Linked DNA regions of Nothobranchius furzeri. The protein of the gene in region 1 purifies or fractionates together with the protein of each later gene. This does not show direct contact. Links are inferred from orthologs where the notes say so. Each region holds a gene or a part of one and is shown on either strand. Other genes may lie near its edges. The genes, in order: wdr19 and ift122.

What was found.
Region 2: the proteins of wdr19 (region 1) and ift122 purify together in Homo sapiens (affinity purification with mass spectrometry; 4 studies listed by BioGRID and IntAct, counting the BioPlex papers as one, with this or other methods). This does not show direct contact. The link is inferred for Nothobranchius furzeri from reciprocal best matches to the Homo sapiens genes WDR19 and IFT122.

Annotation. Positions count from the first base shown.
Region 1 is NC_091742.1:74,695,772-74,702,878, forward strand, and holds the start of wdr19 (WD repeat-containing protein 19), read right to left. Parts: upstream 4,554-7,107; 5' UTR 4,433-4,553; coding exon 4,427-4,432; intron 3,550-4,426; coding exon 3,458-3,549; intron 3,377-3,457; coding exon 3,311-3,376; intron 3,233-3,310; coding exon 3,107-3,232; intron 3,010-3,106; coding exon 2,891-3,009; intron 2,802-2,890; coding exon 2,686-2,801; intron 251-2,685; coding exon 170-250; intron 1-169. UniProt on the Homo sapiens protein: As component of the IFT complex A (IFT-A), a complex required for retrograde ciliary transport and entry into cilia of G protein-coupled receptors (GPCRs), it is involved in cilia function and/or assembly.
Region 2 is NC_091755.1:54,410,924-54,417,985, forward strand, and holds the end of ift122 (intraflagellar transport protein 122 homolog), read left to right. Parts: intron 1-1,513; coding exon 1,514-1,654; intron 1,655-1,741; coding exon 1,742-1,839; intron 1,840-2,695; coding exon 2,696-2,796; intron 2,797-3,682; coding exon 3,683-3,848; intron 3,849-3,936; coding exon 3,937-4,054; intron 4,055-4,137; coding exon 4,138-4,266; intron 4,267-4,817; coding exon 4,818-4,894; intron 4,895-5,011; coding exon 5,012-5,176; intron 5,177-5,302; coding exon 5,303-5,389; 3' UTR 5,390-5,528; downstream 5,529-7,062. Other genes in the region: rhodopsin, read left to right, coding at 6,446-6,806, 6,884-7,052. UniProt on the Homo sapiens protein: As a component of the IFT complex A (IFT-A), a complex required for retrograde ciliary transport and entry into cilia of G protein-coupled receptors (GPCRs), it is required in ciliogenesis and ciliary protein trafficking.

The DNA.
Region 1 (7,107 bases):
AGATATTACAGATTTTCTTCATTAGAAATTAACTGATAACAACTGTTGAATTAATCTAAAGCTATTCATTTCAGTTCAGAAAATTGAAATTCATTTAAATGTGCTGAAATTTAAATAGAATCTAGAAACAAACAACAAGAACACCAATGAAAATAGCAAATAAACTCACAGTGCTCTCCCCTTGAGAAGACCTTTCATCCGTCTTCATCATAGAAAAGTAAATTTCAGCAGGCTCTCCTCGAAGTGTTGTCTGAACAGAGGAAAATGAAACAGGACTCTAACTCTTCTAAAATTTGATTGTTTGAACAAAAAGGTTTTCATGTTATAAGAAGAAATAATCTATGTTTACCTTTTAACACAATTAAGTTAATGATCAGGGGTCTCATTTATCAAACATCGCGTAGAATCCTTACTAAAACCATACTTCAGCTCAGCAACAAAAATGTACTTAAGCCAAGCAGGTTTGTGATCTATCAAACATGGAGTACGCACAGCTGCACGCAATCTCCGCTTCATAAATGGGAGACTATCTAGAAATGTTCTCAGCTGCTTTTTAGTCACATCCCGCCCTCACCACGCCCACTTACTGCCATAAAGGGTCAATGCAAAGTGCCTTGTGGATGTAAATGCAGATACATAAGCCGGCTGTTGCAGCATTTCGATCACGACCACAGATCAAGGAAGTGCTATTTCACAAGCAGAAATTCAGGTACTTGTGGGTGAGGTGGAGAAATGAAAGGAAGTGCTTTTGCAAAATAAATAAGAGAAAATCCACGGAGTGGCACAGCGTTGCTGAAGTCGTCAATGTTGTGAATTCTTCAGAGAGATCTGTGGCGGTTATTAAAAAAACGGTCCAATCAGGATTTTATCCCCAGACTCCCAGGTGAAAGTCATGCGTTAACCAGTCACCGAAATGGAGATCTCCCTTGTCCAAGTAGCCAGGGCGCATGATCAATCAGGTCACAGTGACAGGACACACACTGTCACAGACGCATGACATTCTGTCTCAATCTGTCCCCCTGCTGATATTCTGCATCCCGTATTCTGCGCTTCAGGCTGTGTGTGTGTGTGCGTGCGCGCGTGTGAGTGTGCGTGCATGTGTGTGTGTGAGTGTGTGCGCGCATGTGTGTGCATGTGTGGGGTCTTGTTCTGTGTGAAAACGAAGCGGTACAAGTGATAATGCTGCAGGATTTCATAATTGTATCCTTCTCAGCAGCAGCACTGCAGGTGCTCTCCATGTCCAAAATGTGCGTAAGCCAGGTCCTCAGTCAACTTAAAGCTGCGCACATTTTGCCGCTAAGTTTTCTTTCATAAATCCCAAAGTTTGCATGGAAAGTTGCTTACGCAGTTTTCCAACCCCGTTTTGTGCGTAAGCAAGCTTGATAAATGAGGCCCCAGCAACTTAATTAATGGTTAACTGTCTTATCCGACTGGGTTAGATTGTGAAGCCACACACACACAAACACATATATATAGAAATCGAGATGCAAGATAATAATGATTCGTTGAAACATTGTGATATTCCATGTTATGATACTGAACTGATATTTCTACAGCAGAATATCGATTTTTATTCAGAATTTACATTCAAACTGTTACTGTATTTCTTTTGTGGGGTACATCTAAAAATAGTTTATCTCACAGAGTGTATTTTCATCGCACATGCGAAATATATGTTCTGCCCTGGTTTACAACTTTAATTAATCTGGGCCTAGGGCATAGTTTCTCACTACTTACCCAGACACCGAGCTCTCCCCTTCCTCGCTGATGGCTCAGATATGCTTGCGATGATGCTGTATTATCACCATCGAACTCCCATGCCATGCCTCGTCTGATTTACATATGTTGCAGGTGACAGATGTCTTTGCATTGTTTAATCTAAAGTGCTCCCAAACTTTAGAAAATTTTCTTAGGTCTTCCTGTCATTCCTCATCTAAACAACGGCTTTCTTTCTCGTTCTGATCTGCCTCGGTCTGTTCTGCTGCCACCTATGAGCTGTGTGCATTGACTGTTACATAAAAGTTGCACGACACAAACAAATTCACGACAAATTAATTTTTTATCGATTGTTATTGATTCATTGTTGCAGCCCTGTTTCTGGTATCGCAGTATGTCGTCTCCCCTGTACTGATATGAATCGTATCATCAGATTCAAGCCTATAGGGAGCCTAAGTCACGCCCATGTACTTCCAGATCACGAGTCCCCAACAGCAAAACAAAAAGAACGGGAGTCTATGAGAGGATAAAAGTTATTTTCTGATGTCGTTTCATTTGTGCAATGGATTTCACATGTGATATGTGTGAATTTAAAGTCACATTTTGATGCCAAGAATGTGCTTATTTTCAACAGACCAGGTGGCAAAAGTTCTGTTTTTGGTCAGTTTTATGCTGTTGTAAGGTGCTATATAAATAAAGCTGCCTTGCCTTTTAGGTTTGGTGTGAAAATACATCCAGGTCTCTAAATGTTCGTCTCACAGAAATTGACGTCATCGAACCACACAGAGACCAAAGTAAGTTTAGTGAGCTTCAAAACCTTCTTCCAGGACAAAAAGAGCAATAAACATGGAGAAACCACTTTAAACCTGGCCATGCGGTAAGTAGCAGCTACGCTGGAGGAGAAGTGATTCTGTAGTGACGTCTGTTTAAATTATGAATTACACGCATATATAGTGTTGGTGTGACTACCTGTCTGACTGTGTCTCCTTCATGGTTGCTAATGCTAAGAGTGTGGTCATCACTTCCCAGAGCCAGCAGATTCTGAGAACTCCAGCACCCACAGGTGATTTTCTTGGTGTGTTTACCTGCGGTAGCAATGTAAAGACAAATGATCATTATAAATTAAGTAAATATGAATAAATAATTAAATAAATGTTTGCGGTGTGTTTATTACCCAGTATGGGGATCTTGCGTGAGGTCTGTTGGTTGTAGATCAGCAGGTTTCCTTTTGCTGTCCCAACAGCTAACAGAGGGCCAGCTTTAGACCACAGGATGAAGGTCATCTGATCTTTGCTTAAACCAAAAACAGCAAAAGAAGAATACATCCTGATTATTAAAAACTGAGTAACACTTTCTCCCTACCTCACTTTCTGCATCATGGCTGCTGTACCTCATCCCGCTGTCTATTTGTGACATTTTACTGACACTGGCATCCCAGAGGTAGATTAAGCTGGATTTTGCAGCGATCACTGCAAGAATGTCGCCATCCTTGTCCCAGTCCATCCCCACACAGCGACTAAAGGTGAGGAGAGACAAAAGATATGAAGCAGCTGACGCGGTCAAAGTGAACCCCTACAAGTCGTCTTACACTCACCCTGGGAGGTTGAGTTCAGTCCACTTCTGTCCATGTCGATCAAATATTTTCACTGAGTTATCCTGCCTGTGTGATTTGAAACAACTGAAATGTATGAACACCCTTTTGATGATGATCTTGAACTAAGAGAAGAAACAGTTTACTCACCCGGCAACAGCAATGTAGTTTCCAAGGCTTTTCTGCCATTTGTAAAGAACAGTAGAGCCTGCCCAAGCCTTTTCCGAAAGAACGAAAACACTCTGGAAGCAAAAAGTGACTAAATCTAAGTTTAAAGGCATTATAGGGGAAAACAGTCATTCTAGTGTTGCAGCTGCATGAGTGAATCATACACCAAAGTCACAAATTTAATAAATAAAGCCTGGCCAAAACTGATTCGTGCAACGGGATCATGTTCACACAAACACCAGGAAATCTAAACCTGACAAGGAAAATAATCATGGCCTTGAACTGAACTGTGCATAAATAAATACACAAATCAAAGTTTGTTTTCCAAGAATGAGATAATTAAAAACAAACAGATTGTAAAAAACGAATACAGATAACTAAAAACAACAGTCATAAATTCAAGGGCATGAGGTAGGGCTCTGGCTGTTTAACCCTATTCTTATGATAAATAGAAGAAAAATCGATTCTAAATCAGCCTTTAATATAAAGAAAATAACTAATCAAACCCACAAAGTGAGATTATCTTTCTTTATCCGCACTTTAAAAATAATATCACGTCATTCTCTTTAAATGTACTTTTCTATCTAATTTTCTGCCCTATTTATTGTTTAATTTCAGTTCAAAATATAAAGAAATCACACAAAAAAAAAACTAAATTGTTCATATCAAGCTTCCATGCTGCCACATTTAACGGACACGATAAGCTAACTAATGCTATCATTAGCCTCTAACATTAAAGTACTATCATAATTCACCTATAAATACAGTTATGTTCTCTCTGGTCAGCTCAACAACTAACAACTGGGAATTATCGACAAAACCAATGTAGCCTGAGCTAGCTTGAAGCTGCATACCAAAAACTCGCTAAATCCGTTTCGTGTAGGGCAATTCAACCCTGGAAATCACAAAAACAAAAGAAACGTGTGTATTAAAGTTCTCCTTTGTACCAACCTTCATTTTAGTGGCTTTTAAAAGCTCACAACCTAAACCTCCTTCGTCTTTTCAAAACATTTTCGACGTTAGGGATGTTTGTTTCCCACAATGCTTCACTCTGAAGCGTCTTCTGCGGAGATGTCATGGCAACGGGGGGTAGCCAATGAGGGGCCTCTGAGAGGCAGACGAGGCAGCAGATACAGAGTTCGTATTTCAAAATGAAAGCACCGAGGATGCTAATTAAAATGTAATAGAATAATTCCAAACCTGTGTCACTAATTTGTGACAGCAGGTTAATTTTAATGAAAGATATAGTAAAGTATAAATTTGCCTTATTTAATGAAATTTACAAAAAATTGTTTTTTAAACAAATGCTAATATGTTGTGAGTCAATGTTTTCAGTCAGAAATCTAAGGATGCATGGAAAATTTCACAGATTTTGACGTCTGAGTTTTAATATTGTATTTCCATCATTAATCCATAAGATGGCAGTTTTGCACAACTCTTTTTGCCTGGGTGTGCTAAAGACTCGACATCTGCTCCTCTGCCCCAGGTTTCCATGAGCATGAGGACTGTCCTTGGGCAAGACACTTAACCCTCCCTGCTTGCTGCCCACACTGGTAGTCTGGGGGCCTGAGAGGGGCCGTCTATTGAGTACCACTGTTCAAGACTAAAATAGGTGAGGGGTAAGCTGCTCAATTAGAGAGGCACATTTTTAAGAAAGTAATTGCCCATAAGTGTTTCAATTCTTTGTGTGTAATCATGACAATATAATAAAAGCAAATTTGTTAGAGGCTTCAAATTTAACTATTTTGCAAAGACAAAAACATGTGTTTATCTTAATTTTCTGTCTCAGTGACAACATGAAAGTGTTTGTTTCGGAATATCTTTTCAGCTTCAGATAAAAAGCATTTACATGTGCTGGTTCCACATCTTGCATTAGGCAAAATTATCGCAAAAAATCTGTACTTACTATTGTTCAGGCTTTGCCCTCAGGGTGGGTGGGTGGGTAAAGGGACAGAGGGGGCTCAAAGCTTGTTGTCAGGATGGTTCTGGCCCACTTTACACCCACTCTAGAACCGCCCCTGTGTAGAAGGTTCACAGATTGACGTGGGAAATTGGGGGGAGGCTCTGAAAGGCAGCTCACACTCCATGGAGCGATTCAAATAGTTTCTAAGTTCATTTCTGAAGGAGATAGATTCTCTTTGGTCTTGGATGCTTTCAAACCCTAATTTACAACTGCTCAGTTACCTATATCTGCCAGCGATGACATGAGACACAAATGATGTTTAATCTTTCTATTGATGGAAATTCATTTTCAAAGAACTTGGAAGACTTCGACTCGGTTCGCAGTGTTCTCCTTTACAGGTCCGTCGATTTCTTTTATGTTTTTAAATACAAGGGCACTCGTTTAGGTTTTGTTTTATGTTGTTTTTGTTGGCTGTCGCACTGTGCCAGAACCGAAGCGGTTGGCAAAACTTGTGCAGAGATGCTTGCTGAAGGTATATGCGTAAACTTGATCACATCAAACCCCATAATTCTGATATTTATATTAGAATTCGACTTACAATAGCCCTACTAAGTGCCTTTCACAGAGAATAGCATTGCTTGTAGTTAATTTGACAGTGTGATTCTGGTACATTGACAGAGTTTTAATACTTTTTCAGTGATTTCTTTCTTCCCACTTGTCATTTACGTCAATTCACCTGGCTGGTGGTGATGTAGCACGTGTCCCTGACGATAACACGTTTATATCTAAACCAAGATTTTCACCTTTAAAGAAAACAGCCGTTTTCTAAAACACATTTCTGGTCCTCTGGTGGGAATAAACACAACCCAGGAGACGTCGTTCTTAACTAGAGGGTTAAACAAACTTCGTTTTCAGTGCGACCCGTCTGCGTCATTTGGAATTCTAGGATATCCAAGGAAGGTCCCGCCTTTTCTCGCCTCTGATTGGCTGGAAGGGCTCTTCTACGATTGGTTATTTCGTTTAAGAGGAAACAGTTTTCTCTCGCTGCAGGTTTTTATGTTTACAGTCAGATCTTGAGGAGCTTTTTGAAGAAAATGTGAACTGATCGCTATAATAAACTTCCTTTCCTGTTTAGCAACAAACCAGGTTCAGTTTCTTTCATAAAAGAGCCTGAAAAACATCAAACGTGAACTTGTAATAATTCTTGTAGCATTTTATCACACTGTAGACTGACTTTATATCTGTTGGCTCTATTGGGGTTATCTTATTACTTTATTATTAAGCTATCCTGCTTTAGAAGAAGAAGCAGAAAGTATCATTTCTATAGCGCCTCTCAAGATAAAAATCATGAGGCGCTTCACAAAAGCAAAAAATTTAAAAATATAAAAAAGCATTTAGAAAATGTTTAAAAATATATTTAAAATGAGCAAAAATAGGCAATTGTGAATCAAAAAATTTTAAGAAAGAGAGAGAGAGTGAACAGGAAAGAGGGAAATTAGTGGATCCTGAGGAAGGCAGAATAGGTGGGGAAAGCAGAATAAAGAGAGAGTGATGATGAAGGTCACACCAAAACCAGCTTGAACAAGTGAGTCTTCAGCTGCTTTTTAAAGGAGACCACTGAGTCCACTGATCTCAGGCTCAGGGGGAGAGAGTTCCAGAGTCTGGGGGCCACAGCAGCAAATGATCTGTCACCTTTGGTCTTTAGCCTGGAGCGCTGCACAACCAGTAG
Region 2 (7,062 bases), on another chromosome or scaffold:
TGGACAGATGAATGCGCTGAAATACTGGATCCCTGTTGCAGTGTGCAGGTCTGGAGAAGAACATGTTTTAGAGCCGGTTAAGAGCACGTAATCCTCAAAATGCCCCACATTAGGCTGCGAGTTTGTCCCTGAGCTGTCCACCAAGACGATTTGACCTAACGTCATCAACACAAACACACTGTGTTTTCATGAAAATCATAGTTGCACTTCCGTTTAGTTTATTGCGTTGTGCTCACAGTAAATCAAACGTGTTGAAGAGAAGGATGCTAACAGTGTTGTGTTTGCTAAACGTAACCAACAACAGCTGGATGTGGTTTCCCATCGGTTAGGCTCACTAATACATGTTTGCCACTAATGCATTTTGACCCCTGCTGAGATTGTGGGGGCAGGGTCACTGTTGGGGTTGGCTCCCAAAAGCTGCTTCTAATTACCCAATAACAGGAACATGACGAATAGCGCTCATGTTTATTTGGGCTTAGGAGCCAGCAGGCTTTGGTGTTTGGTATTCACAAACTGCTGTTGTAAAGGAAAAGCCTGATGGTGGTTATTCAGGATAGCAGTGGGTAGGGCTGGGCAATAAATCGAAAATTTATTGTTATCGAAATTTCTGACTCTTATCGTGATCATTTTTCTGATGTCAATAAATCTGATAATAAAAAAAATGAAAAGGTTTGTGTAGGTTGGCAGTGTTCATGTCACTTTAAGAAGCTGTACCACCTTAGTACATGTGACAGCCTCATCTAGTGGACAACATTTGTTACCTGTAGTCATCGCCTGTTATCGAGGCGAAATCCTCAATATATCGTGATATTGATTTTAGACCATATCGCCCAGCCCTAGCAGTGGTATAACTTTATTTGTAACCTTGGACACAAACGTCGTACCGTAGAAAACGCCGTAAAACCAGAACATTTCAGCGTTTTTTTTTTTTTTTCATTGGAATCTGTGTCCCTTATGGTAACCGGTATGAATTTGTATAGTGCCTTCTTTGTACTGCGTCCCACCAAGATGCTTCACAACACATTCAGTCAACCACACATTCACACGCTGGTGATGATGAGCTACAATGCAGCTGCAGCTACCCTGTGGCGCATTGAGAGAAGCAAGACTGTGGAACACTGGCACCACCGGTCCCCACGACCACCATCAGCAGGCTAGGTGGGTTTAGTATCTTGCCCAAGGACACAACAGCAGCGTTCTCTTGCAGGAGACGGGATTGATCCTGCAACCTTCTGGACAACCCGCTCTACCTCTTGAGCTACTGCTGTCCCAGTTGTATAGAACGATGTTCAAACAGGTTAGCACTGTCTAAAGCTAAAGCTAGCTTGTTTTTACTATCTGAACTGGAGCTGGGGGTCGTCTTCCTCCTGATGTGTGGAACTGGGAATTACCGTTGAACATTCTGACCAGTATGGTGACTCAGATATATAAACAAGTGTTGCTCGTCTTAAATGAACCCTCTAGTCCAAAATCACCTCAAGATGAGAGTTTTAAACTTTTCTTTCCTCCTCAGCATTTCACAAAGCTGGTCGTCAGAGTGAAGCGGTGAAAGTCCTGGAGCAGCTCACCCACAATGCAGTGGTGGAGAACAGGTTCAACGATGCTGGCTACTATTACTGGATGCTATCGATGCAGTGTTTGGACATAGCCAGAGGTGACGCGTGTCATTAACTGCACCTTGTTTTAAATTTGAATTGTGATGTTTCTCATTCTGATCCTTGTGCCTTCTCCTCCAAACCAGAAAGCGAGGAGCAGAGGGATGAAAATCTGAAGAAATTTGAACGTTTTCAGCATCTCGCTGAGCTTTACTACGTGTATCGATCTATTCAGCGCTACACGGTGAGGATGACTGTGTGAATGCTTCCTTCTCATTTCATAGGGAATGGGTTTGCTGCTGGATTAGAAACTGTCACCAGCACCTGGTTGAATTTCTGTTTTGGTTTAAACACACAACAAACATACCTTATGATCTCCACTTACTCTGACATTCAGAATAGGTTTGGCTCTGAAAGATTATCTCAATCCACAGACTGAGTTGGGATTAAGGAGGAATTAAGATAAGCTCAGAGGGCGTCAGGCAAAGTGAACAAAAGACAGAATGGAGGGCATTACGTTCAGGTCGCAGTTCACTTAAAGGAAATATCAGCTGGAAAGAGCCACCATTGTTAGACTGCTGAAACCCTCCTGACCCCTGTCGCCATAGTAACCAGTTGCTTGACGGAACAAGATGACAACCTCATCAGTGGTTCTCTCCTACCGCCGCTCCAAGCTCTCACTCGCTTACAAACAACAAATTCCCGCTTGTGAGCGCTCTGCGGGTGACCTGGCCTGTGTCGGCGCTCCTGGTTTGTTGTTTCAGCGCTTCGCTCCGCTGTGGTCACCCTCACAGTACGGAGGCATCGCTCTGATCCAGACCAGAGCAGGAAACCTCTACATGTCACGTTAACTCTCCCAGACGGGAGCTGTAGATTTCGACTATAAGCTTCAGTGATGAAATGCTTTTAGTGAACACTTTAGAAAAAAATCCTCTCTCTTTTTCTTCTGTGGCACCGTGAGGAAGGATAAGACGTGGAGGATGTTGAAAGATTGCAGATATAAATGGGATTGACCTGAGAAAATAGTTATCAGTTATTTAGGTAATTTTTAATCCCTTTCACTTCAATCTGTCATTTTTCTTTTTTCTTTTAATCTTTAGGATGAGCCCTTCAGTTCCCACTTGCCAGAGACACTCTTCAACATATGCAGATTCCTACTGAATAACCTCACCAAGGACGTACCACCAGGCATCTCTAAAGTGTATCCTTCACCTCGACAAGGTAAACCACACATAGCATGATGTGTACAGCAAGTATGGGACCTCCTTTTCTGAAAGCACCACAGCACCTTCACTTCAAGACTGGCAGAAGCAGCGGAAATAAAGAAGATAAAAGTAGGAACTGTTGGTGCCGCAGCGGCAGCCATGCTGCTGCCGGGAGAGAGAAAAGGGATGATGATGGGGAGGAGACGATGCCAGCAAGAGGCCCATTTTTGGTTTTCCAAACAAGCTCTTTGATTGCTGAATGCTATGCGTACATACACATTGAACAATGAGTTTTAATTTGAACAAACAAACAGTCAAACACACTCACAACCGTACAGACAAGTTTATGAAGTCACTCGGGACGGGTGCTGGTATGAGGAAGGAAAGGAGGAGGAAACGGGGCCGGCCTCAGCGGCTGGGGTCCTCCGTGGCCCAAGCCGAACTGTTCCAGAAGCTTTGAAGTGAGATGAATGGACTTGCTGGGACTGTGTTGGACGTTGGTTGAACAGCTAGAGACAAAGTCACAAATAACCCATGAGCTAACCAATCTGCACAATAGGAGGATGTGACTTTATTGAGAGTTTCAGAGGTAGGTGTGTAGGAGGAGCTGGAGAGCAGCTGAGTGGAAAGGAGAGGAATGGTGTTGGGTTTTAAGTGATGGAAAAGTACCAATGTAGAGATGCTGCAGCTGCAGCTCATTGACCTCCACTCACCACACGCCGAGCTGCTCCCCCAACAGGCTGTTCTCTCTCTATAATTACAAATGTGTACCAGTCTTCTTGTGAAAAATGTAAACAAGTCGGATAACGTTGCTGCAGGTGTTTTAAGAGAATTACCTAAATCCATTTTATTTCACTTTACCAACCTTGACGTGCTCATCAGTAACACCTTGTATGCTCTGACCAAGCAGAGTCAGAAACTGGGTGCGTTTAAACTTGCCAGGTATTCCTACGAGAAGCTCCAGGAGCTACACGTTCCCTCACGCTTCCTGGACTCCATTGAACTGGGCAGCCTCCAGATTCGCTCCAAGCCTTTCCATGACAGTGAGGTGAGCATGTGTGTGGTAGCTGCTCTGAAGTGCTAGCACTGACCTCTGTGTCGTCTACTGGAGGCCAAACACACTGTGTTTCCTGCAGGACCTCATTGAGATCATGATGTGCTACCGCTGCTCCACCAACAACCCCTTTCTGAACAACCAGGGGAGTGTGTGCATCAACTGCAGGCAGCCTTTCATCTACTCAGCCTCGTCATACGGTCGGTGACAGTTAAACTATTATCCTAAGGTGACATTTGCTTTTATGCTAGGCCTGTAAGTGAATTCTTGTTGTTTTGCACAGAGGTGCTGCCTCTGGTGCAGTTTTACCTGGACCAGGGTATCAGCGACGAAGAAGCCCTGTCTCTTATTGACCTGGAGGTTCCCCGCTTAGATCAGGGGAGCGCACAGGGGCCCGTTAAGGACAACAGCAGTATCCTTTAAATGTCACTCCGCACGCAAACATCTACTAACACCAAGTAACAGGTTGCTGACTTGATTTGTATTAAAAATGAAGTCCTTACTCTGCTGGTGCCCCGGCAAACTGCACATCTCTTCTAATTGAAGCATGTGGCTCTCATCTGTCTGGTGACAGTTCTAAGAAGCTGTTTAGTCTGCACTGGCCTTGATTCTGTGCTTGTGGGTAAGCTGTCAGAAGTAAGTCATCTTAGCTCTTGAGCTAATAGGGTTAGGGAGGCTCTCCTGGCTCATCTTAATGACACTAACCCTCAAAGAGCCGTAGCCACAGCCCTGGTGCGGGGATTAACCTGCATTAACCGGCAGACACTCAAGGGCACCGAGGTGTGTTGTGTTCTTGCCGGGCCTCGCTATGACTGACAGGCGCAACAGATTTTAAATGCATTGTTTCTCGAGGGTTATTTTGATCCGGCTATTTCCTGTTTTTGCAAAATCCTTGCATCGTAAAAGATGCTAAGTTATATAATGTGCACTGGTTATTTATTCGTCCTTCATTTACACAAACAGAACTACAAGCTTTGAGGATGGCTGATGGTTTAGGTGTTACGGAGGAAGATCCGTTTACAGCCAAAATGAGCTTTGAGGTAGGAAAAGGACGGCTGGAGTAGATGAGGTGATTAATATTCAGCCAGCTGGGCGAACCAGCTGGAGAGGGTGAAAGGACGGAGTTGGTTAGAGGGTGTGTTTGTGTGTCCAAACAGCAAGGGGGCTCTACCTTTGTCCCAGTCAAGGTGAGCCGTTCGGTGCTGGGCTCCATGAGCAGAAGGGACGTCCTGATCAAACGCTGGCCCAAGCCACTCAAATGGGAATACTTCCGCTCCCTGCTGCCGGATGTCAGCATCACCATGTGCCCCAGCTGCTTCAAGGTGCAGCATTTACACACTCCTCTTCTAGTGAAAATTCAACTTCACCTATGTTTTAATTTTGATTATCTTTTCAGATGTGATTATTGTAGCGTGCTTCCATGCTTCCCTCTCTGTGTTCTCTTGTAGATGTTTCACAGTGAGGACTATGAGCTCCTGGTGCTGAAGCACAGCTGCTGTCCCTACTGCCGCAGACCCATCGACGAGCCAAACTGATCCTCTTTACATGGGAGACACTTTACTTTTTGTACCCTGGAGAAAGCTAGTATTTTATTTTCTGCATTTATGTAAAGTAATGAGCATGTTTGTTGTGTGTAAACCTCTTAAGAGCAGCTCTGTTACCCAAAGATGAGTGTTTGTTTAGGTCTCGGTCATTAGAAAGCACCATCAATCCAACAGGATTAAAAAGATTAGGTTACCTTAAGCTGTGAGTACATCATAACTTTGTGTACGACCTAAAACGATGTAAAAATTAAACTTGTTTTGCAGATCTTCTTAACAAGTAAGATCTAATATTTATGTGCATTTTTTCATTTTTTTTACAGCTGTTTAACTACGATAAGTTGTTGTTTATATTGTACAAGTCCCGTTAATAAAACGTCTATAGATTTGTGATCGCTGTGGTTTTTATTCATGAAAAACTTGAGTGTTAATAACTTTTCCTCTTCCAGTTTGAACCTTTGTGTTTGTGAAGGAGCTGGAGGGAACGAGAGCACATAACCCTCTGATTACACCTCAGGCTATAAGAGGAGCTCTGTGCTCGGCGCTAGTTAGGGATTAAGCTTTTACAGATGCAAATAAGTTGGATTGCTTCAGAAATTTCACTTGTAGTCTGTCCACTCTGAGTGGTTGAAGTCAAACCTTCCTCTCTTCTTTTTCTAATGCAGCAGTGATGCACATGATTGTAGTTAATGGGTTCATTTAACCACGGTTATAACTTCTCACTTTAAATTTTGCTGTGCTTCTTTCTGTGATTTTACTTTTCCTTCCTAGAGTTTTCCCCCTGTGACACTTTGCGTGTTAACGCTGCACCGACACCCTTAGACCGTGTCTTAATTCCATCTCCGCTAACACTTCGTTTCATCCTCATCTCTAATCCGCCAGCGCTATTAAAAGGTGCTTGCTCCTCCTCCAGGGGCTGTGAAGAGCCTATTTTTTGGGGTCAGTCCCTCATTTCCACCTTGGTTGCACCACAAGGCTGGGTAATAGTGCTTCTGCGAGGCACAGCTTGTTTGGTCCAGACCTCAGAGGAAGAAGAGGACAACAGCAGCCATGAATGGCACAGAGGGACCCAACTTTTATGTCCCCATGTCTAATAGGACTGGGTTGGTACGCAGTCCGTTTGAGTACCCTCAGTACTATCTGGCCGAGCCATGGAAGTACTCCCTTCTGGCTGCATACATGCTGTTCCTCATCATCGCCGCCTTCCCCATTAACTTCCTCACCCTTTATGTCACTGTCGAGCACAAAAAGCTGAGAAACCCTCTGAACTATGTCCTGCTCAACCTGGCGTTGGCCGACCTCTTCATGATAGTCGGAGGCTTCACGGTCACTCTGTACACGGCCCTGCACGGATACTTCATCTTAGGTGTCACCGGCTGCAGCGTTGAGGGATTTTTTGCCACACTAGGAGGTAAGTGCCGTGTTGTCCCCATTGGGTTGTGGTATTTGTGCTGTAGTGAAATGGACCTGCTTTGTCTCGTGTCCCAGGAGAGATCGCCCTCTGGTCTCTGGTGGTTTTGGCGATAGAGCGCTACGTTGTGGTCTGCAAGCCGATGACCAACTTCCGCTTTGAGGAGAAACACGCCATTGCTGGCCTGGCGTTCTCGTGGGTCATGGCCCTGACCTGTGCGGCCCCCCCTCTCTTTGGATGGTCTCGGTAAAAACTG